Mus musculus: one gene and its partners. The protein of the gene in region 1 binds, or shares a complex with, the protein of each later gene. Links are inferred from orthologs where the notes say so. Each region holds a gene or a part of one and is shown in the gene's direction. Other genes may lie near its edges. The genes, in order: Gnai3, Rgs2, Casr, Rgs10 and Trpc5.

Region 1 (4,292 bases):
CAATCTCCCTTACAAGCCGAGGAAGCAACAGGGTGAGATGATCCATCCTGCCAGTTTTGCCAACATCTTGGTATCGAGGTGACTGCCATCCAAAAACCTTAGATGCTCTGTTGTCAGGGGTCTCCCAGCTATACCTTCTAGAGAGGTCTGGTAGAAAGAGGGCGTGAAGTTGAAACTAGACAGATGTACTTACTGTGTGGACGTGGGAAAGCGACTGAATTCCTCTGAGCCCATTTTCTCATTGGCGACAATGGGGATTAATATTACCTACCTCACAGGGTTGTTGTGAGGATTAAGAGATGAGACATGGAAGTGCCTACCTGGCAAAAAGGTACTCAATAATGTTGTGTTTCCCCCTTTCCTCTTGACCCTTTCCCCCCTAGAAGTGATCAGAAAGGAAAAGCAGTTTCTTTTGGAAATGAGTGGGAGACTTTCCAGACTTGGAATTGACAAGCATTATGGGTGACGTGGACGAGGTTAATCTAATTAGATGGTTCTAATTAATTAATTTTCACTATAGACCTTTCTCTTGGGAATTTGTAGCTTAAGTTACCTCCTACTAGAGAAATGTTTTAAATTCCAGGGAAATGTTTCAATGGCTGTAAAAAAATGCCCCTTCTTAAAACGGGTGTTGAGTCATTGTGGGTCTATTTAGTAGGGACTTTAGGATATTCTTCACAGAGCCAATATTCAGGAGATAGTAGAAAGACAACTTTTACCAAACTTCCCCCTTTCTGTGGCTATCACAGAGGAACTCTTGTTAGATTAGAGATTAGCTCGTTTATTTCTGGGTATGGAACTAAGTCCTCAGGTTTACCTGGAAGAAAGGGAAGCGTGGAAATATTATAAATGAATTACACCTAGTTTCATATTCTAATACTTACTACCTATTTTTCACTCTCTATTACTTGATGCGGTCGAGTGATCCTTTGCCAACATAGGAGTGCCAGGCATATGTACAGCTCACAGAAATCCATACGTTGTAGCAGAAGGACTAATATATACTTGGCATAATGGGTGTAGCCAGAGGAATGGGTGAACATCCAGGCTGGGCAGCTCAAGGATCAGACGGAGGGAACTTTGGCTGAAGTGCCCAACACGCGGCTCTGGACAGAGACCTGGGCTCCAAATCACAGATGAAAAGGAAAAAAGGTTTTTTTGTTTGTTTGTTTTCTGGAGAGGGAGGCTTTTCCCAACAGCAATTCCCAGAGGACTGTGAGCTCTCATTTGAGAATCTGATCCTCACCGCCAAACCTCCAGAGCACACCACGTGCTGGAAGTCCCGCTTTTTCTACACTTGGAATCCAAGTCCAGGAGCCGGAGAAGTAAAAGGGTATTAAGGCTGGGAGGTGCGGAGCGAAGGCTCGCCATCACTCCACGGGGACAGTCAGGTACCAGGGAACTTCCGCTCTCCGTACCACCTCCGCCTCCCACTGGCACAGCGCTCTAAGTAGTAACGGCCGCTGGGCGTCGCCGGAAGTGTCGTAAACAGCACACATCCGGTTCTTCCGGGAGCTAGGGGAGCTGACGGAGAAGGCCACCGCCCAGCAGAAGACCCGTCTCCGCCGGTGTGTGGCGATTCCCGCGGTGTGTGTGAGTGAGCCCGGGCCCGGTCCCCTCTCCCGCCGCCGCCATGGGCTGCACGTTGAGCGCCGAGGACAAGGCGGCGGTGGAGCGGAGCAAGATGATCGACCGCAACTTGCGGGAGGACGGGGAGAAAGCGGCCAAAGAAGTGAAGCTGCTGCTGCTCGGTGAGGGGCTGGGGGCGGAGCTGGAGCGCTGGAGCCGGAGAGCCCGGCCCCGGGAGCAGCCGGAGCTGATCGGGGTCTGGCCAAGGCCGGCAGAGAGGACCCCAAAGGGACAAGGAGGGGATGCCCAGCAATGGGGCGGGTACTGGGCTTGGCGACTGAGGCCCCGGAAGGCGTGGGGATTTCAGGTTGGAGAGGGTGTAACCCGGCTGGGATGGTACTTAGTAGAGTTGGGGAGTTTGGAGCCCCGAGACTGTGCTGGGAATCCGGGCACGGCTCTTAAAGGGAGGGACCGAAATTAGGGAGGGTTCACACTGGGCTGGAACGTGTTGAGGAGGATAGTGTATGGTGTCTGGTGGGGCCTGTCTAGGGTTTGTGTGAGTTTGATACTTGATGTCAGGATAAAGCTGGAAGGATTGAATGATTAAATAGCGAAGCTAGTACAGAGAGGGTCACATAAAGAACTTGCTCGCAAGTCTTTTTGTGCTGTTAGTGAGGTGGGTTGTCCAGGAACACCCAGGAGGCGGTTGAAATAAATGACAGGTTCTTAGGTATAAAAGAAAAGACCTTGGGTGCAGAGGCCACTAATACTTTTTTCAACTTTTTTTTAAAATCTCTCTCTCTCTCTTTTTTTTTTTTAAATTCTCTTGAGCTTCCGTGATTCCTTTTTTAAATTAAAGGGCTAGGGATGGTGTGAGCTGAGGAAATTGAAAGAATGCCATTTTTGAGGTTTGGGGTAGAGGACAGTGGGACCATGTGTGTCGGGAATAGTAGAGGATAACATATGGACTGGGGCAGATTTATTGTAGAGATTGTGATCTATTTGGGAGGGGTTGATTTTTTTTTTTAATTGGGTTTTTCAAAATAAAAGTATGTATTGGCTTTCAGACTACAAACACCGTGTTGTCTTATACTCAAGTGGGCTTTTTTATCTCTAGTCAGACATGTTTCAGTCAGGATAATTTCGTTTTAAACTTTGATAGGCCCAGTAAATCATATAAACTTCTCTCGCATTAGCTTACCAGTAAATCCAGCTGTATTCATTATTTATATCTTTGAGGAATCTGTTAGATGAGAATCATTACGAATAAGTCACAGGTTCTGGAAGCAGCAGAGCTTTTTAGATAAATACCGTCCCGAAAGGTCACTTTAGAGCACTAATTTCACTTTGTAGAGCTCCAGAGGACGGACACCACTGCCATAATCTTAGGCTGACTTCGTGCTTTAAGATGGGCTGGCTGCTTGCTTATATATTTTGGAAGCTCTGAGCGGCAGCTTGAATATAAAGAAAACGTTATGCAGTGGAGTTTGAGCTTCCAAAGGATAAGAATTCATAGCATAGCTCTGGACTGCCAGTGCCTGTATAATAGGTATCTTTTTAAAAATATTTTTATTAGGTATTTTCCTCATTTACATTTCCAATGCTATCCCAAAAGTCCCCCATACCCTCCACCCCACTCCCCTACCCACCCACTCCCACTTTTTGGCCCTGGCATTCCCCTCTACTTGGGCATATAAAGTTTGCAAGTCCAATGGGCCTCTCTTTCCAGTGATGGCCGATAATAGGTATCTTTTGTGGATGAACGTGGTTTCTGGTACTTAGCAGGGACTTAAGTATTTACTGTTAACCAATCAGTGTTTTTTTTGTTTTTGTTTTTTTTTTTTAAAGACAAGTTCATGCTGAATGTTAGTTCCTGGGGGCCTTTCAGAGTCTGGTGTAAAACACAACCCTTGTCAGTGTTCTCCCCTAGCCTAATTGCTGTTTTCAGACAGTGTCATTCTGCAGCCTAGTCCGGCCTTCTGTTCTCCATCCTCCTGCAGCTGGCTTCCCAATTGCTGGGATTGCAGCATCTATCAGCACACCAGTGACATTAACATTTTTTGTAAGAATCAAATGTGAAATCAAAGATGCATTCTCATATTCTGGGATTTGATCTATATTGACCACTGGAAAAACTTGGGTAAGCAGAACTATCCAAGTACCTGGAAAAATCTTTACTCAGGGTCTTTAGTTCCTTTAATTAAAAAAAAAAAAATTAAAATTAAATGCAGGATAGCTTACAGAATTTGAAAAGTTTAAGTAAAAGTCAAAATACTGATTTGTTTTTAATATTTACTAGCTTTTTTAAAAAAGGTTTTTTGTTTTGAGACAATATTGGCCTCAAAATTCATGAGATTCTGTAGCTGAGATTGTAGGTATGTACCACACCATGAAACTTTTTTCCCACTCTCAGGATTTTTTATGACGGTATTTTGAGCAAATTAAACCAGTAAGATGAAGTAGTTGCGGAAACAGCTGGTCTTACCTGAGCTGTGTCATGATGCATATGTGAAGTTAAAACGATCTCTCATGGGACTAGAGACATGTCTAACAGTCACAAGCACTTGCTGTTCTTACATGGGGCCTGCATTAGGTTCTCAGTACCCACACGGCTCACAACCATCTGTACATAAACGTACATGCAGATTGAACATCCAGACACATAAAATTAATAATTCTAAAAATGATATTTCATGATATTTCTTTAAGTAGAATTTACCTAT
Region 2 (4,274 bases), on another chromosome or scaffold:
ATTTTAACGAGCAACACTATTTTATTAACACAAGCTTAATAAATATGTATTAAATCGTCAGAAATTAAAGCAAATGTAGAAACAGTGCAGATCTTTTCGGCTTATTAAAAATTTCATCTTACAGATTCATAAGCATGCTATCAAGTATTTGTTGCTAAAATCGAAATGATATTCCTTCTATAATAAGGCTATACCAATCTTCTTCATTAGCGACTGCAGACTTTGATCTCTGACTCAAACTACCCTCAGCTTGTCACAATGTGTTGCTTGGTTCCCAGTTTGAGAATGGGTCTTCATTTTCCTTTTAGTAGATCTAGTATGAATCAGAATAACTAGAGCCTAAGCCGTACCTTTTTGTTAGTCTGTTCAGACTTTATGGGAAAACCACTTAGGTATTCCGCCGCATCATTCTGGTAACATAGGAAGCTGAATCAGTTTGTAGTTGAAGTCATGTATTAGTTCTTACAAATCAGGGCTTATTAAACCCTGCAGGAGCAGAGACAGGGGTTCTCACAAATGAAGCTTACCCAAACAAATTCTTTACACCAACCGGCTCTCACATCTAGCTCTAGCCCCCACTGCACCGCCACCTTAACTTAAGCAGTTGAACATCTAGTAATTCCTAAATCTGTTCAACCGTGAATGACTCATGAGGAAATCCTGATTCCTTACGCTCTGAAACTACACATGATCCGTGTGCAGCAGAACTGCGAGATCCTGGGTTTCCCTTTGTATTTCTCACCTATCTCTCTGATCTTTGCTGTGCCCCGCAGGAGATGCCCCTCGGGTCTCCTGGGGAACGACCCTGCAAAGCCACAGCCTGCTGCAGCCATGCATTTAAAGATCAAAACTGCAGAACTGGTTAAAACACCAGGTTTTAATAGAAACTTTCTCCCGCTTCCTCCCTGAGTAGCGTGGAATTCCCTTTAGGAATTCCAAGGTGCCTGAGCGAGCTACAGCACCTTACTCAACAGTCCATATTTCAGGTTTTTCTAGTTGTTTGATTTCCTTCTCTAAAATAGGTAGAGTTGCTGAGTGCAGCCAGCAGGGCTCTCCCCATCCCAGCTGCAGTTTATGGGTGTCCGGATGAACAATAGATACAAAGGTGGGGCGCGCGCGAACACACACACACACACGCACACGAGTAAAAGGTACGGTCTTCAGTAAAGGAAAAGCCAAGAACTCGGAGACCCTTCACCGCGTGGCTGCCCGAAGTGCCTACCAAATCTCTCTGTGTCCCCGCCCGCCACCTCCCACCCTGTGTGCGCACGAGGATGCGGCGCCTACGTCAACAGCGCCCTCGCTTCCAGGCCCTTCGGGGGCTGCCGTGACTGCCACAGGCCGGGGCGACTCCGCCCTCGTGCCGTCTGCAGCGAGCCAATCCGCGCTCTCTTGGGGCGTGGCTGACGCCTCCAGGTCCCGCCCCTATGCCGCCGCCCGCCTTAAAAGCCCGCGGCGCGCTCCCGGCCTCAAACAGCTGCGGTGGCCGCGGGAGTCTGAGAATGCAAAGTGCCATGTTCCTGGCTGTCCAGCACGACTGCGTACCCATGGACAAGAGTGCAGGCAACGGCCCCAAGGTCGAGGAGAAGCGGGAGAAAATGAAGCGGACACTGTGAGTATGCCCTGTCTCCCGAAGAGCTCTTCATACCCAGCCTGGCTTTGCTGCTAGGGACCTACCTTCCCTCGATCTCGGCTTTGAATGCTCTCTAGTCTGCACCTCTGCAGAGAAAGTGTGGGGGCTTGGGGGGTGGGGGGTTAGCTTGCTAGATATGGTGGTATTTGCTTTTTTTCTATGTGAGCTCCGAGAGTTTAGGAACTATAGGAAATGGTTGAAGAAGGTGGCGGTAGATGATCTGAGAAGGGCTGGTTGGCTTTTTGTTCTGCATTTAATGTGGCATCAGAATCCTGTAGCTGAATAACGTCCACCGGCGTCTGGACGTTGCATTGTTAGTTCTGAGCTGCTTGCATAGCTGCTGGGTGGAGATGTTTGAGTTGATTCGCAATGTATGAGATCCATTTTTAAATCATAAAGTAGGGCTCACCCAGTCACGACTATGGAATGAGTAATTTGCTCTGCAGTATCTGCTGCGGAGAAGCACTGTGGGCGGTCGCAGAGGGGAGCTAGGGAATCCATCACACACACACACACACACACACACACACACACACACACACACACACACCTATGCATTGTCTCTGGCATAGTGCAGACCCTCCTACCCCCAGTGCAGAAAGGGAAGAAACATCAGCTGGGTCAAGACTGCTGTTCTCAATTGAAAAATGACAGCAAGCTGTAGTTTAACCATGCAGAAAATCCACTACCTGTTTATTAGGTCAGAAATAACTGGTGAAAATTTAAAATACCCTGGCTGTTATGTAGTCCTATCCTGCTTGTAAAGCTCATTATAGTCGGATGAATGGATAAAACTGTGTTCTGAGGTGCTGGGTTTAAAAGCTAAGAGGGAGAGACTCATCTGCTTTGTTTGTAGCTACTGCAGCTGATGATAGTTTGACCGTTCAAGAATTGCCACTTGAAGTATTTTTTTTTTCTCTCTTTTTTTTTCCAGCTTAAAGGATTGGAAGACCCGTTTGAGCTACTTCTTGCAGAATTCCTCTGCTCCTGGGAAGCCCAAAACTGGCAAGAAAAGCAAACAGCAAACTTTTATCAAGTAAGTTTCGGATCCTGTAGTTACAGAGATGAATATCTAACCAAGCCAAGCAAAAGGGGAAGGGGAACTGATGTGTGTTGGGGAGCTCATTTGCGGAACTTCTCTTGCAGGCCTTCTCCTGAGGAAGCGCAGCTCTGGGCAGAAGCATTTGATGAACTGCTGGCCAGTAAATGTAAGTTCACCTCTTGAATGTGATCTCTCACCAGTATCTTTAAAAGCCTAGAAATGATTGCAAGAAGTGCATTAGACATTACCACCACTGACAGTTCAAAGCCTCTTTTTCTTTCCCTTATATCACTGGGTTTAATCATGGGGAAGCAAGAGGTATTCACCTCAGGTGGGGAAGAAAAGTTAGCCTAAAAATTAAAATGCCAGTTACTCAGGCTGTGGTTGAGTCAGCTTTTCCATTGCATAGAATATTTTCAAAAGCCCTAGTTCCTAGTGAACTTATGGCCTATAAACACTGGTCTTGCAGTGCCAGTGAAGTTAAGTATACTTTTGTTGCAGACTACAAACTTAAGCATTTTTGCCTACTGGCATCTTAGTGCTTAAAGAGCCAGACCTAGAGAATGACAGGCTTGAATGAAGTCTAGGAAACTGATCATTTTGTGCAGAAGAACTGTGTATAATTCGGTCGTTCCATTCATGCTGCTTTTCCTGTGCTTCCAGATGGGCTGGCTGCATTCAGGGCGTTTTTAAAGTCCGAGTTCTGTGAAGAAAACATTGAATTCTGGTTGGCTTGTGAAGACTTCAAAAAAACCAAATCACCCCAAAAACTGTCCTCAAAAGCAAGGAAAATCTATACCGACTTCATAGAGAAGGAAGCTCCCAAAGAGGTAAGAAGACAGGCGCCTCAGATCACCTTCAACACTGTTGAAACCTGAGACTTGAATACACCACATTCAAGCACAAGTGAGAAGAGCCCTGTGCGCCTCTCATCCCAGCTGTCCTAACATTTAAGTTTCTCCAAAGTTGACAGTTATAACTGATCACAAGTTACACCTTTATGTTTTATTATTAAGCATCAATCTGCAGTGTTGACTAGCCAATAAATGGACTTTTGTTTTGTTCTTTCAGATAAACATAGACTTCCAAACGAAATCTCTGATTGCCCAAAATATCCAAGAGGCTACAAGTGGCTGCTTCACCACAGCTCAGAAGAGGGTGTACAGTTTGATGGAGAACAATTCTTATCCTCGGTTCTTGGAGTCCGAATTCTACCAGGACTTATGTAAAAAGCCACAGATCACCACGGAGCCCCATGCTACATGAGACCAGGAGTCCCCCCACACACAAAGGACATTCCATTCTGTCTCCCAAGAGCAAAGGCTGTGACCTGCCAGAAAAAAAAAAAAAACTGACCTTGAATTCAGCCTGAGTGTTAGGAAAACATCGCTCAGAACTATTGATTCAATGTTGGGTAGTGAATCAGGAAGTCAGCAACCTAGGAGAGGCTCTGTGTGAGAACGGCTTCCCTCACTGTGTGAAGAACAGAGGGAGGGAACAGGCCTCTGAATGTGTTCTTCCTCCTTGTCGGGAAAGCAGAGTTTGAGATGAAAGATCCGATGCAATGTTGTTGGAGCATTTAAAATCAATAGGTCTGGG
Region 3 (3,510 bases), on another chromosome or scaffold:
AAGCTTCAAGAAGGGACCCAGACTTCACCTTGAGCTTCATGATAGCTGGAAAGTGAAGGTCAACATTATCCCAACAAAACTAGATTTCTGTTTGTAAGGACAGCCAGGGACATTTTTCTCATGAATATGGAAAAAACTAAGTGTAAGACTGCGTCAAAGTTGACCATATCTTCATATGACCCACGTTGACAAGTGCTGCCCATGTTGCTCCTTACGGAACAGCCTTGCGGACGAACAAAATGCTTGCCCTGAAAATGTGTTAACGAGAGCAGAACCAGTTGAGCAGTGTTTTGTTTTGTTTTGTTTCTTAATAAAAATAACATTTAATGAATATTTTAAAAAATAATCTAGTATCTCCCAATAACCTTACAAGTTTGAAGCAACTATGTGGTGAAAGAAACATAAAGAGATATGGAAATTTTTACATCCAAGGTTAGACTAAGAGTTCTGGAAACCTGACTAGACAGTAGAATGCAATGGAACAGATTTCCCCTCCTGTCGATAAGTCTGAGTTGGGCCCACAACTCAGAGGAGGAGGAGCCAGCCTCTCTTGATGGCTTTTCTGCTGGACCCCGATTTGCTGAGTCAGCACATTTATCTAGCCTTCACCATCCCAAGCTAGTAAGAAAACTGGCACTATTGATTTTTTTTTTTTTTTTTTGCTTAAAATAATGTTCTTTTAAAAGCAGCAATGGTCATATTTTTAAAGCAAAAATTATAAATTAGCCCAACACACAGAATTTTTAAGGCATCTCCTACCCCTTTTGTTTGCAGTTCTTTTAATACTTGATACTTATCTACAAAAGGATCGTCTCACTTTCTGCTTTAACCTCCAGGAATGTCACAATCTAAATTTGTGACAAATCCACAAATCTGAGGTTATTTTTAGGTTCCCACATACTAATATCCTCATCTATTTACAGTCCCCTGGTGCTTTTTTGGGGGGGGGGGGACTTGCTATGTAGCCCAGAACTGGCCTCAAACTCACAACCTTCCCACTCCAGCCTGATAATTATATACCACACAGGCATATATCACCGCACCTAGCCAAGCCTTCAGTTTGCACCTTCACACCCTCACACCAGCTACTGCAAAGTTTATGCTAGAGAATGCAGCAATAAATTATTCAACTAAATACCAATAACAGTCATTTTATTATTGTTCCCTAATTCAAAGGGAATGCACTGTGCTGAGAATTTTTACCAATCTCCTGACATCTTTAAAGGCAGCCTAATAGGAAAGTGTCGTTCCTGTATTTACATGGAGGACCTTGAGCACATCACAAAACCAAAGGGTAATAGAGCCAAGATTCAAGCCCAGCTCTGACAGTCCTCACTCCAACAGGGTCTTCCACTGAGTCCATGTCTGTCTTCCAGGTATAACTTCCGTGGATTCCGATGGTTACAAGCCATGATCTTTGCCATAGAGGAGATAAACAGCAGCCCCGCCCTTCTTCCCAACATGACTCTGGGATATAGGATATTCGACACCTGTAACACCGTCTCCAAGGCTCTGGAGGCCACCTTGAGTTTTGTTGCCCAGAACAAAATCGATTCTCTGAACCTGGATGAGTTCTGCAACTGCTCCGAGCACATCCCTTCAACCATCGCAGTGGTGGGAGCAACCGGCTCCGGTGTCTCCACAGCGGTAGCCAACCTGCTGGGACTTTTCTATATCCCCCAGGTAATGCTACCTTCCTTCCTAAGACTTATTTTTATTACTTTAAATTATGTGTGTGTTTAAATATGTGCACAAGTGCAGATGCCTTCAGAGGCCAGAGGTGTCAGATCTCCTGGAGCTGGAGTTGCATGTGGTTGTGAGCCACCCAGCATAGGTCCTGGGAACCGAACTCAGGTTCTCTGAAACAACAGTACAACCATTTAACCTCTGAGCTATCCTCCACCCAAGTGACATCTCCTTAGATAAGCAACAGACTCAGGGAGCAGGAGAAACAGGTTTGAAGAGTTGCATGCTAGCAGTATCCTCTGGGGCTTTCCATAGACACAAAAGTAAGTGGGCACTGTTATCAGGAGCACTTGGGGTCTCTGTGACCTTTATGCCAATGAGACCGTCACTGTTCTTCCAATATTCTTTGTTTGTTTGTTTGTTTGTTTGTTTGTTTTGTTTTTTGCTTTTTGGTTTTTTTTGTTTTTTTGTTTTTTTGTTTTTTTCGAGACAGGGTTTCTCTGTATAGCCCTGGCTGTCCTGGAACTAACTTTGTAGACCAGGCTGGCCTCGAATTCAGAAATCCACCTGCCTCTGCCTCCCGAGTGCTGGGATTAAAGGTGTGCACCACCACGCCTGGCTTCCAATATTCTTTTCAAAATAACTCTAGCGTATATAACTCCACCTTTTTTCTCACTGTCATTTCCCATTCACTCCTTTAGCAGCTGGCCTTCTATTTTTACCAAAAGAAATAAGATCCTATGATGTAAGTCTCAAATCAAAATCAAATAAAAAATATTGGCCCCTTATTCTTTTTCCTCAAAGTCTCTTTTTCCCTATTTTCAGCTTTCGTTCAGGGGGAAATAAAGCCTGCTTCCCCATAATAGAGGAGCTTAATCACTGTGTCTGAAATGGAGCATACCTTAATATTCCCCAACAAATATTGACAGAGTGTATATGAACAGTCTCCATCCTGCAGGAACTCAGCCTAGGCGGGAGGTGGGTGCATTTTCAAATACTAATCAATCACCAGAGCAATTATTTTATAAGCATTGGTTCAAAGTTGTATTCCACTTCTCCCACAGCAAACTCTAAATGCCATTTTATTGCCTGATTTCTTCCTTTGGCACTATGGCTTATCAAGTCAATCTTTCTTTGGATTAATAACTACAGATCTATTACATCACTTTGTCACAGTGAAAATTGCAAGTAGCTTAAACATCTCTGGATAAGAAAATAGATAGAATCAGCTTGGTTGTGATATGGCCTTCAATTGTAAATTAAATTAAGGACCAGAGTTCAATTTTTTTCAGTGTTTAATATTCAAAACAATATTCAAAATTCATATCAATAAATTTCCATTTCTCTTGTTGCAAAAGGTCTGCTTCTTTGCTGAGAGCCTTAATCCTTTGCAGACTCATAACAATAGAGGCATTCTTGTCTTACACTTCCAGAAAGTAAAGATGTTCCACACAGGAAAGACGTGGCTTTGTCATGTTTGTACCAAAATGCTCTGACCCCGTCAGCATTAGTCAATGTGCTAGGCATGTTTACATCTGGGAGCTGGTGAAACAGTATTTTAAAAGCACTGTGAAGGGGAGTCGTCAGCCCAGCGGTAGAGGAAGGAAATGACATCAGGTAAAGAGCAGGAGGAGAGAGCTTCTCTTCTGCATGGCTAGAAGACAAGAAGGATATGATTGATCAAAGTGGTAAGGAGACTGCAGCTGCCCGGGTCTGGTGGAACTCACACCTTGAAACCCCGCAGGTGGAGCTCTGTGATTTTGCGATCAGACTGCTCTACAGCATGGGCGGGCTACAAAGTGATACTCTGCCTCAACTTACCTT
Region 4 (4,050 bases), on another chromosome or scaffold:
AGAGCACCATTATGTCTGTGTCTGTGTCGGTTTAGGCTCAGCTTTTACAGAGCCTATGACCCAAGAGCTATTTCAATGGCCAGGAAGCTTGGGGGGGGGGCGGGCGGCAATAGCAGCTGGAGACATTCAGAAACCCCGGCTTGGAAGCCACACTGATGGTGCTCACCTGCAAGCCGCAGCTGAAGACCTCTGCAGCCTTCAGGGGACGGAACATCCTCTTTGGATAGCACAAATGGCCGTGTTTGGAAATGATGGAGTGGGGAAGGGTAGGCAGAGAGATGGTGAATAACCACAGAGGGCCAGGGCTGAGGTGGCGTTGGGACTGCAGGGTGGACAAAAAGGGAGGAAAATAGAGCAAAATGGGAAGCTCAGAATAGAAGATATAAAGGAAAGTGCCAACTAGTGAAAATCCTGCGAAAGAACGCGCGCGGGGGGTTGGGGGGGCGACTGGGGAATGGTTTAGAAAAATAGCAATTAGCACAGCTAAAAATAAAGACCAATTTCGAGACAAAGCCAGACCCACAAGGAGAAAAATAAAACTCGCCAGAAAGACAATTCCTTGCAAACCGAATGCTCAAGAAAATGGGGCTAACGACACCCCCCTCTTGGGCTGTTTGGTAAAAAGAAATGGGAAACTAGATGAGCGTGGAGCGCGGCGCTGAGCAGGTGACTGGCACCAGGAGGAGCGTTGAGCCCGGCGCTGGGATCTACAGGATTCCGGTAGTTGAGCGCAAAGGTTCTCCTGAGACTGCACCCAAGTGTCGTCCAAGTTAAAAAATGTGCTGGCGCGCTCAGATCCACTCTGAAACCGCAGAGGCTCCAGACAGCGTTCTCCGAGGTTTGTCCCGGGGCTTGGAAGCCCCGGCACAGGCGTGGCGTGGGCCAGAGTGGGCGCCCACTCGCGGCGGCTTGGCTCGGGACTCTGGTGACGCCTCCCGGGCATTCGCGGCGTGAGCAGGCCGCGCGCCCACGGAATCGGGTAGACCCGGGGGCGATCTGGGAGGTGACTCGGGCCTGGCAGGGACACCGAACGCTGTATGTCTCCAGGCCGCGAGGGGAGGGACCGGGATGTGCGCGGGAGCTGAGGGTCACCCGGGGCCACCGCGCCCTGCCCTGCGCGGGTAACTGAGGGCTGGACCCAGTGCCCACGGGCGCGGGTGGGCAGGGAGAGGGGAGCGCGGCGGGGAGGAGGCGGCGGGCGGAGCCTGGAGGGGCGGCGTCGCGCGGGCTCCTCCTCCTCCTTGCCCTCTTCGGGCTTAGCCGCCGCGCTGCCCGGCTGCTCCGTCCTCTGGACGCCCGCGGCGATGTTCACCCGCGCCGTGAGCCGACTGAGCAGGAAGCGGCCGCCGTCTGGTAAGCGGTTGCGGGCGCTTGGGCGCGGGAAGGACGGGGTCGCCGGGTCCCCTGGCGCGGCTCGCTGTGCCGCCCGGACAGCAGCCGCGCTCCTCCCCGCTCGCTCTGTCCCAGCCGCGGCGGGAGCGCAGAGCCGGGGAGCCGCCCGGGGAGGAAGTTGGGCTTGAAGCGGGAGTCAGAGCAGCTTTCTTTCTAGAGAAGGTCTGGGAACCACGGGAGACACATTAACAGCCCCTCACTCCGAGGCAGCGTGGGAAGCCAGGCTTCCCTCCTGCGTGCAGCCTCTTTCTCGGGCGGAATGGGAAGGATGCTCCGCCGGACCTCTGCATCCCCGGAGTGGCCGGCCCCGCGGCGCCAAAAAAAGTGGAGTCCCAAGGTGGCTGCACACCAGGGCGGGGGAGGAACTTGTGTGACACGGCGGGGGAGTCACTTTGTTTTTCCCCCTGAACCTGCCTGACCCACAGTTTGGGGCAACTTGGCAAGACAAAGAACCCACGGTGCAGAAATGGTGATTTGAATCGTGCCATCCTTTTTGTTCTTAATAACACCTAACACTCTTTGATGGCTTAGGTTGTGGCCAGGAGCTGTGTTGACACCTTGTGTGCTTTCTCTTGTCTTCACCATTAGAGCAGCCGCGTCGGAGGGGTGGGGCTCTAAAGCCAGGGTGTTGGGTAACCTGCTCTACTCTTAGCTGATGGATTTTTTTAAACGTAGGTTTATTTGCTTGACTCTGGGTTCGGGGTTCAAAGGCTTGCTTTTCTGTCGCCCAGAGATTCACTACGCTTTAGCCGGTTTCCTCTTTTCACGTAAATATCAAACGTGGTTAAGCGGCTGCAATCAGACATAGACCCAATCCCTTGGCCACCACTCGACAGCTGTGCAACTTCTTTGTGACTGGGGATGTGCAAAGGGTAGCTTTAAGTGCTTAATTGGAGACTCCCCCCCCCCCATCAGCCACATGCAAATCATTTCATTAATTATTTAAGACAACCCCACTAAAGTCAGATTCCATAGAGTTATTGTAAAGAGTTTGCACTGTTGTCTTAATATGCGTTGAAATGCTCCATTAGTGTTCCCGAGTGGTCACATTCCCTTGTGATGCTGATGGCTGACACTGAGTGGTGGTCAGATTCTAGGCACCGGAGTTAAACTCCAACCTTGACTCTGCCACTCCGCCACACTGAATAATGAATGTCCTTGGACCTTTCTGTGCCGCAGAGCTGTGCTGGTGCTGGCTCAGTGTAGCTTGCAAGAACCAATTGCTAAATGTTCAGGGCATCTGGGAACTGGTTGCTACGTCATAGGTGGACTGAAATGAACTGTGGTGGGACATATCAACATATGTCAGACATCAAGGCTGGAACAGTGGATTTCAGGAAGCTGTGGACTTAACTACATACTTAAATTTTATTTTAGATCATATTTATCATGTGTATGTGTGTGCTCGTGTGCGTCTCTGTGTGTGTGTGTGTGTGCATATGTGTGTTTGCATGCTACAGCTTGTATGTGGAGGTTAGAGGATGACTTATGGAAATCAGTTTTCTTCTACCGATAGGTCCCAGTAGTCAAAATCAAGCCGTCAGGTTTGGATGTAAGCATCCTTACCCACTGAACCGTGTTGCTAGCCATTAACTACAGGTTTTAATTCTGATAAGGATATGCTTACATTACTAATAGTAGGATCAGCAGTTAAACCTGAGAAGCCCCAAGTGCAATGCTGGATACATGATAAAGGTGTGGGGCTTACTAGTTTCCTTTTCTTTCTTTTTCCATCATGTAGGGGAGTTCCGTCTAGCCTTGCCTAGGTTGCTTGCTGCTTAAAATTATATTTGGCCAGAATATAATACAAATAGAACCACTGAATTGTGACAGATACCTGGATTTGGGATGCTTTTGCATACGGCCAGATTGCAATCCCAAACTGAAAGGCAGTTTCACAGTCATTGCTAGCATGTATCTGTTCCAGGGCAACAGACTAACCCTGATGAAGCTTGCCCACACCAGTGATACAAAGGCCAGCAGGGAAATAGCAGTGCTTGGTGTTGGATGTCTATATGGCCAGAGCCCAATTTCCTTGAAATCTGTGGGTATAAGTTCTGCTGCCCTGTGAAAGGACACGAGCCCCTGCCAGTTTGGTCACTATCATCACCACCCAACATCAAGAAAAGGAGCCAAGTGAGAAAGGAGGGAGGGTGAGGGCTCCTTACAGAGATGCTGTGCAGCAGGCAAGCCGTCTGCAGGACAGTTAAGGATTTGGGAGAAGGTAATTTTGATGTTTTTTTTTTTTTTTCTTGTGGTGCTAGAGGTGTGCCCAAGGCCTTGTATATGTAGGCAAATGGCCTGCCCCAGAGCAACACCCCGCCTGAACTTCGCTTTTAAAGAGGTTTTCCAGAGTATCCTACTGAAGCCCCACCAAAGCTGGCCGTACCCCTGCGGGAGCCTGGGCTGGGCTTGACTGCAAGCCTCTCTCCCCCAGAGCATTCTATGTGAGGCTGAAAGAGTTAAATCTCATCAAAGATGGCATCTGTAAGTAGAGAGCTGGAAGCCCCACCTGTTTCTAAGGTTCGCAGTTGGAGGCTCTATGTTCTGCCTATCAGGTAGGGGAAGCAGGGGGCCTTGATAAAAGTCAGACCCCAGTTCCATCTTGGGGAACCAAGGGGAGCAGGAAGAGTCACAGCTTCGTTTTTTAGCAAGTAC
Region 5 (3,510 bases), on another chromosome or scaffold:
GTATGTAATATGGCATTTATTGTGTTTCCTGTGACAGTGACATTACTAAGATATTTTAAGCAGGAGGATAACGTGCTTTGGCTTTAAGCTTTGGAAAGATGGTTTGTAAAGGAGCAAGTTAGTGGTACGCAAACAACTGGAGAGAAGGCAATTCATATGCATTTGTATGACTGCTCCCCCAACACACACACTCCCTGCCCCATCCCAAAGCAGTAGCCTCGTCACCTGACACTTCTTCAGTTTCCTTCCTGGACCCTAACTGTCTTTGCCTCTGCAGTTGTCCTTTAACTTAGAGACACTTCACAAGGGCAAGTACTCTAATAGTTTAACTTAGAGACACTTCACAAGGGCAAGTACTCTAATAGTTTAACTTAGAGACACTTCACAAGGGCAAGTACTCTAATAGTTTAACTTAGAGACACTTCACAAGGGCAAGTACTCTAATAGTTCAACTGTCAGTTACCACTTTCTTTTTAAAATTTTGGGTGTATGGGTGCTTTGCCTGTAAGTATGTTTGCCTACATATATGCATGTGTACCACCTGTATGTCTGGTGTAGGTAGAGGTCAAAACAGGGTGTCGGGTCCCGTAGAACTAGAGTTACAGTTGTGAGGTGGGTGTGACATGGGTGTGATGTGAGTGCTGGGAAATTGAACCCGGGTCATCTGTGCAGTCAGCCAGTGCTCTTAACCACTAAGCCATTTTCTCCAGGCCAGTTACCACGTTACTAGCTATTAGTTCATGTTATTGTCCAGAGGTTCTGTAATCAACCTTAGCACTGTGTAATTTTTCCAGTTGTGACCGAATAGTCTTTCTGTGCTTGACTAATGGAAGATTTTGAAAAGTATAATGTGTGCCTCATGATTTATTACTAGGTACGACTTAGCCGATGCAAAACTCTTGAGTGTCTTCTTTAAACTAAAGACAACTTTTTTTCTGATAAAACATGTCTCCTCCCCCCTTCTCTCTCTCTGTCTCTCTCTCTCTCTCTCTCTAGGAATTAAAGCAGGACATTTCCAGCTTTCGATATGAAGTGCTTGACCTCTTGGGAAACAGGAAACATCCAAGAAGAAGCCTCTCCACCAGCAGTGCTGATTTCTCTCAAAGGGATGATACCAATGACGGCAGTGGTGGGGCTCGGGCCAAGTCTAAGAGTGTCTCTTTCAATGTAGGCTGCAAGAAAAAGGCCTGTCACGGTGCACCGCTCATCAGAACCGTGCCAAGAGCTAGTGGCGCCCAAGGAAAGCCAAAATCCGAGTCGTCGAGCAAACGGTCCTTCATGGGTCCGTCTTTCAAGAAATTGGGTCTCTTCTTCTCCAAGTTCAATGGTCAAACATCTGAACCTACTTCGGAGCCAATGTACACAATCTCTGATGGCATCGCACAGCAGCATTGTATGTGGCAGGACATCCGCTATTCTCAGATGGAGAAAGGGAAGGCAGAGGCCTGTTCTCAAAGTCAGATGAACCTTGGCGAGGTAGAGCTAGGTGAAATCCGGGGGGCTGCTGCTCGGAGCAGTGAGTGCCCCCTAGCCTGTTCCAGCTCCCTTCACTGTGCATCCGGCATCTGCTCCTCAAATTCGAAACTTTTGGACTCGTCAGAGGACGTATTTGAAACTTGGGGAGAGGCTTGTGACTTGCTCATGCACAAATGGGGTGATGGACAGGAAGAACAAGTTACAACTCGGCTCTAAGTCAAATCCCCGTCATCTATTCTGGAATTCAAGAGAATATTTGTAATTTCCCTGTTCTCAGAGGTGACCCCAAATTTGGTTCCCTCCCTGTCCCCAACACACACACACACACACACACACACACACACACACACACACACACACACCAAGGAGTGAAACTCCTATTACTTTCAGTCTTTTCTAGCCACATTCTTCATGTTTTGTTTCACTGTCATTATCATTTGCCTTTTTATATCTATAAATACTAAATCCATCTCAAAAGCAACTGAAGGGGTCCTGCCCCTAATGAGCAGAGGTGCGGTCGGGTGCTTTAACCCCTTTGCTTTGCTTTGTTCACCCTTGCCTCCTTGAAGCTCCAGGTGCCACTTTGCTACCATAGCTGCCGCATAGATTCCTGACATGCCTCAGGATCTCACACCCATCTCCCCACAGAGCTGAGGGCTACGGTCAGCAGTCCCTACCAGCTATCAGATAAGGCTAATCAACCTGCCTGTCTTCGTTGCTCTTCAGTGCTACACGCTGCCCATGCTGGTCCGATGAACAGCATTAAAGGGAGACTCCAAAGAATTGTCAGCTTGTGGTTTCTAGGTAGAACTGGCCTTTCCGTTCCGTTTTTAAACACTACAAGTACTAATTGTGGGGACTGTAGAGGTTTTGTTTCGTAAATGTGTGTTAGTTTCTTAACGTGTAGCAATGAGATATTTACTGTACAGTGCGTACCACATAATAAGTTAGCTAATTTCCTGTGTTTGTATATTTCGGTTAACTTACCATACCTTAAAATTTGAGAGTATCAAAACTAGTATTTAGGATGTGTACTTTTTTCAAAAAAAAAAAACTTTTACTGTACTTTAACTAATAGTTACTACATCTCATACATTGGCAAGAAAAATAATTAGTTGGTATATTTATAGGGTCCTATCTACTGTGGATAGTTTTAATCATCATTGATATAAAAGCATTTCTAAGATTAAAGTCTGGATTTGAAATATTTTTATCAGAAAAATGACAATTTATTGAGGTGTTAAAATTTGGGGGGAAAATGCACCTCAATTTAATTAATTGCTTTCTGGAAAGAAAACCCAACAGATACAAATGTAGGTTCAGATAACTGAATTCAGATTGCAGCTGCAGTATCTACTGGGGGACAGTGGAAAGCACATGTATGAGCTCTTGGATATAGAACATAATAATCCTAGTGGATTTGTAGAACTATACTTGTGGTCTAAGTTCTGCCTTCCAAGAAAGCTGCAGTTATACATTCCAATTCTTTCCCATAGGCAAGGAGTACTTAATCCGAATATAAGTTAAAAATGAAGCTAGTTTGCGGATGGTAATCACCTTAGAACTGAGACCCACCAAACAGCTGAGCAAACATGGGTTTACCAACATATGCTCGGCTTGTAGAGATTAACAATGTCTATGGCAGAAACGTTAAAGAAGGCTGTTGAGTACCACTTGGTCTTTTTAAAGGTCACCACCACCAAGGACTCCTTCACATTTTTGTGATGTCTGCTAGAGGTGAAGGGGGAAACTGTGAAACAATGTAAATGTGTCTGCAAGCTTGCTTTTGACAGAGTAGTTTAAGTCAAACTGACTTTCCATCTCTATCCCTAGCATTGGTGAATGAGGGGGAAAATGTTTCATGTGGAGATGAGCCAAATTAGGGGCAAGGGAGGCAGGAAGTGCTGCTGGATACAACTCAGATACCCAGAAAAAGGAACTAGGAGAGTAAGATCCATCAGCATCCATTTGGCTGGCAAGGGTTTGTTCCAAAATAATCTATCTTATCTGAAGTGCTCATTTATTCAAATCCAA

What was found.
Region 2: the proteins of Gnai3 (region 1) and Rgs2 are in contact, whole or in part, in a crystal structure (PDB 2V4Z), measured with the Homo sapiens proteins. The link is inferred for Mus musculus from reciprocal best matches to the Homo sapiens genes GNAI3 and RGS2. Residues at the interface, in NP_006487.1 of Homo sapiens: Val179, Lys180, Thr181, Thr182, Gly183, Ile184, Val185, Gln204, Ser206, Glu207, Lys209, Lys210, His213, Ala235, Glu236, Asp237, Glu238; in NP_002914.1 of Homo sapiens: Glu104, Phe105, Glu108, Asn109, Glu143, Ala144, Pro145, Glu147, Ile148, Asn149, Asp151, Phe152, Leu180, Asn183, Ser185, Arg188.
Region 3: the proteins of Gnai3 (region 1) and Casr are in contact, whole or in part, in a cryo-EM structure (PDB 8SZH), measured with the Homo sapiens proteins. The link is inferred for Mus musculus from reciprocal best matches to the Homo sapiens genes GNAI3 and CASR. Residues at the interface, in NP_006487.1 of Homo sapiens: Ala31, Lys32, Gln304, Glu308, Lys314, Asp315, Thr316, Lys317, Glu318, Ile319, Tyr320, Thr321, Phe334, Asp337, Ala338, Thr340, Asp341, Ile343, Ile344, Lys345, Asn347, Leu348, Glu350, Cys351, Gly352, Leu353, Tyr354; in NP_000379.3 of Homo sapiens: Lys644, Ala645, Asn647, Arg701, Val702, Val705, Phe706, Ala708, Lys709, Pro711, Thr712, Arg716, Trp719, Phe801, Ile869, Val872, Arg873, Thr876, Ala877, Ala880, Phe881, Lys882, Val883, Ala884, Ala885, Arg886.
Region 4: the proteins of Gnai3 (region 1) and Rgs10 are in contact, whole or in part, in a crystal structure (PDB 2IHB), measured with the Homo sapiens proteins. The link is inferred for Mus musculus from reciprocal best matches to the Homo sapiens genes GNAI3 and RGS10. Residues at the interface, in NP_006487.1 of Homo sapiens: Val71, Val72, Ser75, Glu115, Val179, Lys180, Thr181, Thr182, Gly183, Ile184, Val185, Gln204, Ser206, Glu207, Lys209, Lys210, His213, Ala235, Glu236; in NP_001005339.1 of Homo sapiens: Glu62, Phe63, Ser64, Glu66, Asn67, Ala102, Ser103, Ser104, Gln105, Val106, Asn107, Val108, Glu109, Gly110, Leu137, Lys139, Tyr140, Asp141, Ser142, Arg145.
Region 5: the proteins of Gnai3 (region 1) and Trpc5 are in contact, whole or in part, in a cryo-EM structure (PDB 8GVX), measured with the Homo sapiens proteins. The link is inferred for Mus musculus from reciprocal best matches to the Homo sapiens genes GNAI3 and TRPC5. Residues at the interface, in NP_006487.1 of Homo sapiens: Arg205, Arg208, Lys209, Trp211, Ile212, His213, Phe215, Glu216, Glu245, Leu249, Ser252, Asn256, Lys257, Trp258, Arg312; in NP_036603.1 of Homo sapiens: Thr27, Glu32, Glu33, Glu56, Ile57, Tyr58, Tyr59, Asn60, Lys125, Pro128, Thr129, Leu130, Met131.

Annotation. Positions count from the first base shown.
Region 1 is NC_000069.6:108,143,347-108,147,638, reverse strand, and holds the start of Gnai3 (guanine nucleotide-binding protein G(i) subunit alpha), read left to right. Parts: upstream 1-1,486; 5' UTR 1,487-1,633; coding exon 1,634-1,751; intron 1,752-4,292. UniProt on the Homo sapiens protein: Heterotrimeric guanine nucleotide-binding proteins (G proteins) function as transducers downstream of G protein-coupled receptors (GPCRs) in numerous signaling cascades.
Region 2 is NC_000067.6:144,001,347-144,005,620, reverse strand, and holds the start of Rgs2 (regulator of G-protein signaling 2), read left to right. Parts: upstream 1-1,471; 5' UTR 1,472-1,502; coding exon 1,503-1,612; intron 1,613-2,567; coding exon 2,568-2,669; intron 2,670-2,779; coding exon 2,780-2,841; intron 2,842-3,338; coding exon 3,339-3,505; intron 3,506-3,746; coding exon 3,747-3,941; 3' UTR 3,942-4,274. UniProt on the Homo sapiens protein: Regulates G protein-coupled receptor signaling cascades. Inhibits signal transduction by increasing the GTPase activity of G protein alpha subunits, thereby driving them into their inactive GDP-bound form.
Region 3 is NC_000082.6:36,513,627-36,517,136, reverse strand, and holds part of Casr (extracellular calcium-sensing receptor precursor), read left to right. Parts: intron 1-1,376; coding exon 1,377-1,683; intron 1,684-2,615; exon of another isoform or gene 2,616-2,622; coding exon of another isoform or gene 2,623-2,664; intron 2,665-3,510. UniProt on the Homo sapiens protein: G-protein-coupled receptor that senses changes in the extracellular concentration of calcium ions and plays a key role in maintaining calcium homeostasis.
Region 4 is NC_000073.6:128,415,369-128,419,418, reverse strand, and holds the start of Rgs10 (regulator of G-protein signaling 10), read left to right. Parts: upstream 1-1,246; 5' UTR 1,247-1,304; coding exon 1,305-1,353; intron 1,354-4,050. UniProt on the Homo sapiens protein: Regulates G protein-coupled receptor signaling cascades, including signaling downstream of the muscarinic acetylcholine receptor CHRM2.
Region 5 is NC_000086.7:144,380,680-144,384,189, reverse strand, and holds part of Trpc5 (short transient receptor potential channel 5), read left to right. Parts: intron 1-996; coding exon 997-1,692; 3' UTR 1,693-3,510. UniProt on the Homo sapiens protein: Forms a receptor-activated non-selective calcium permeant cation channel. Mediates calcium-dependent phosphatidylserine externalization and apoptosis in neurons via its association with PLSCR1.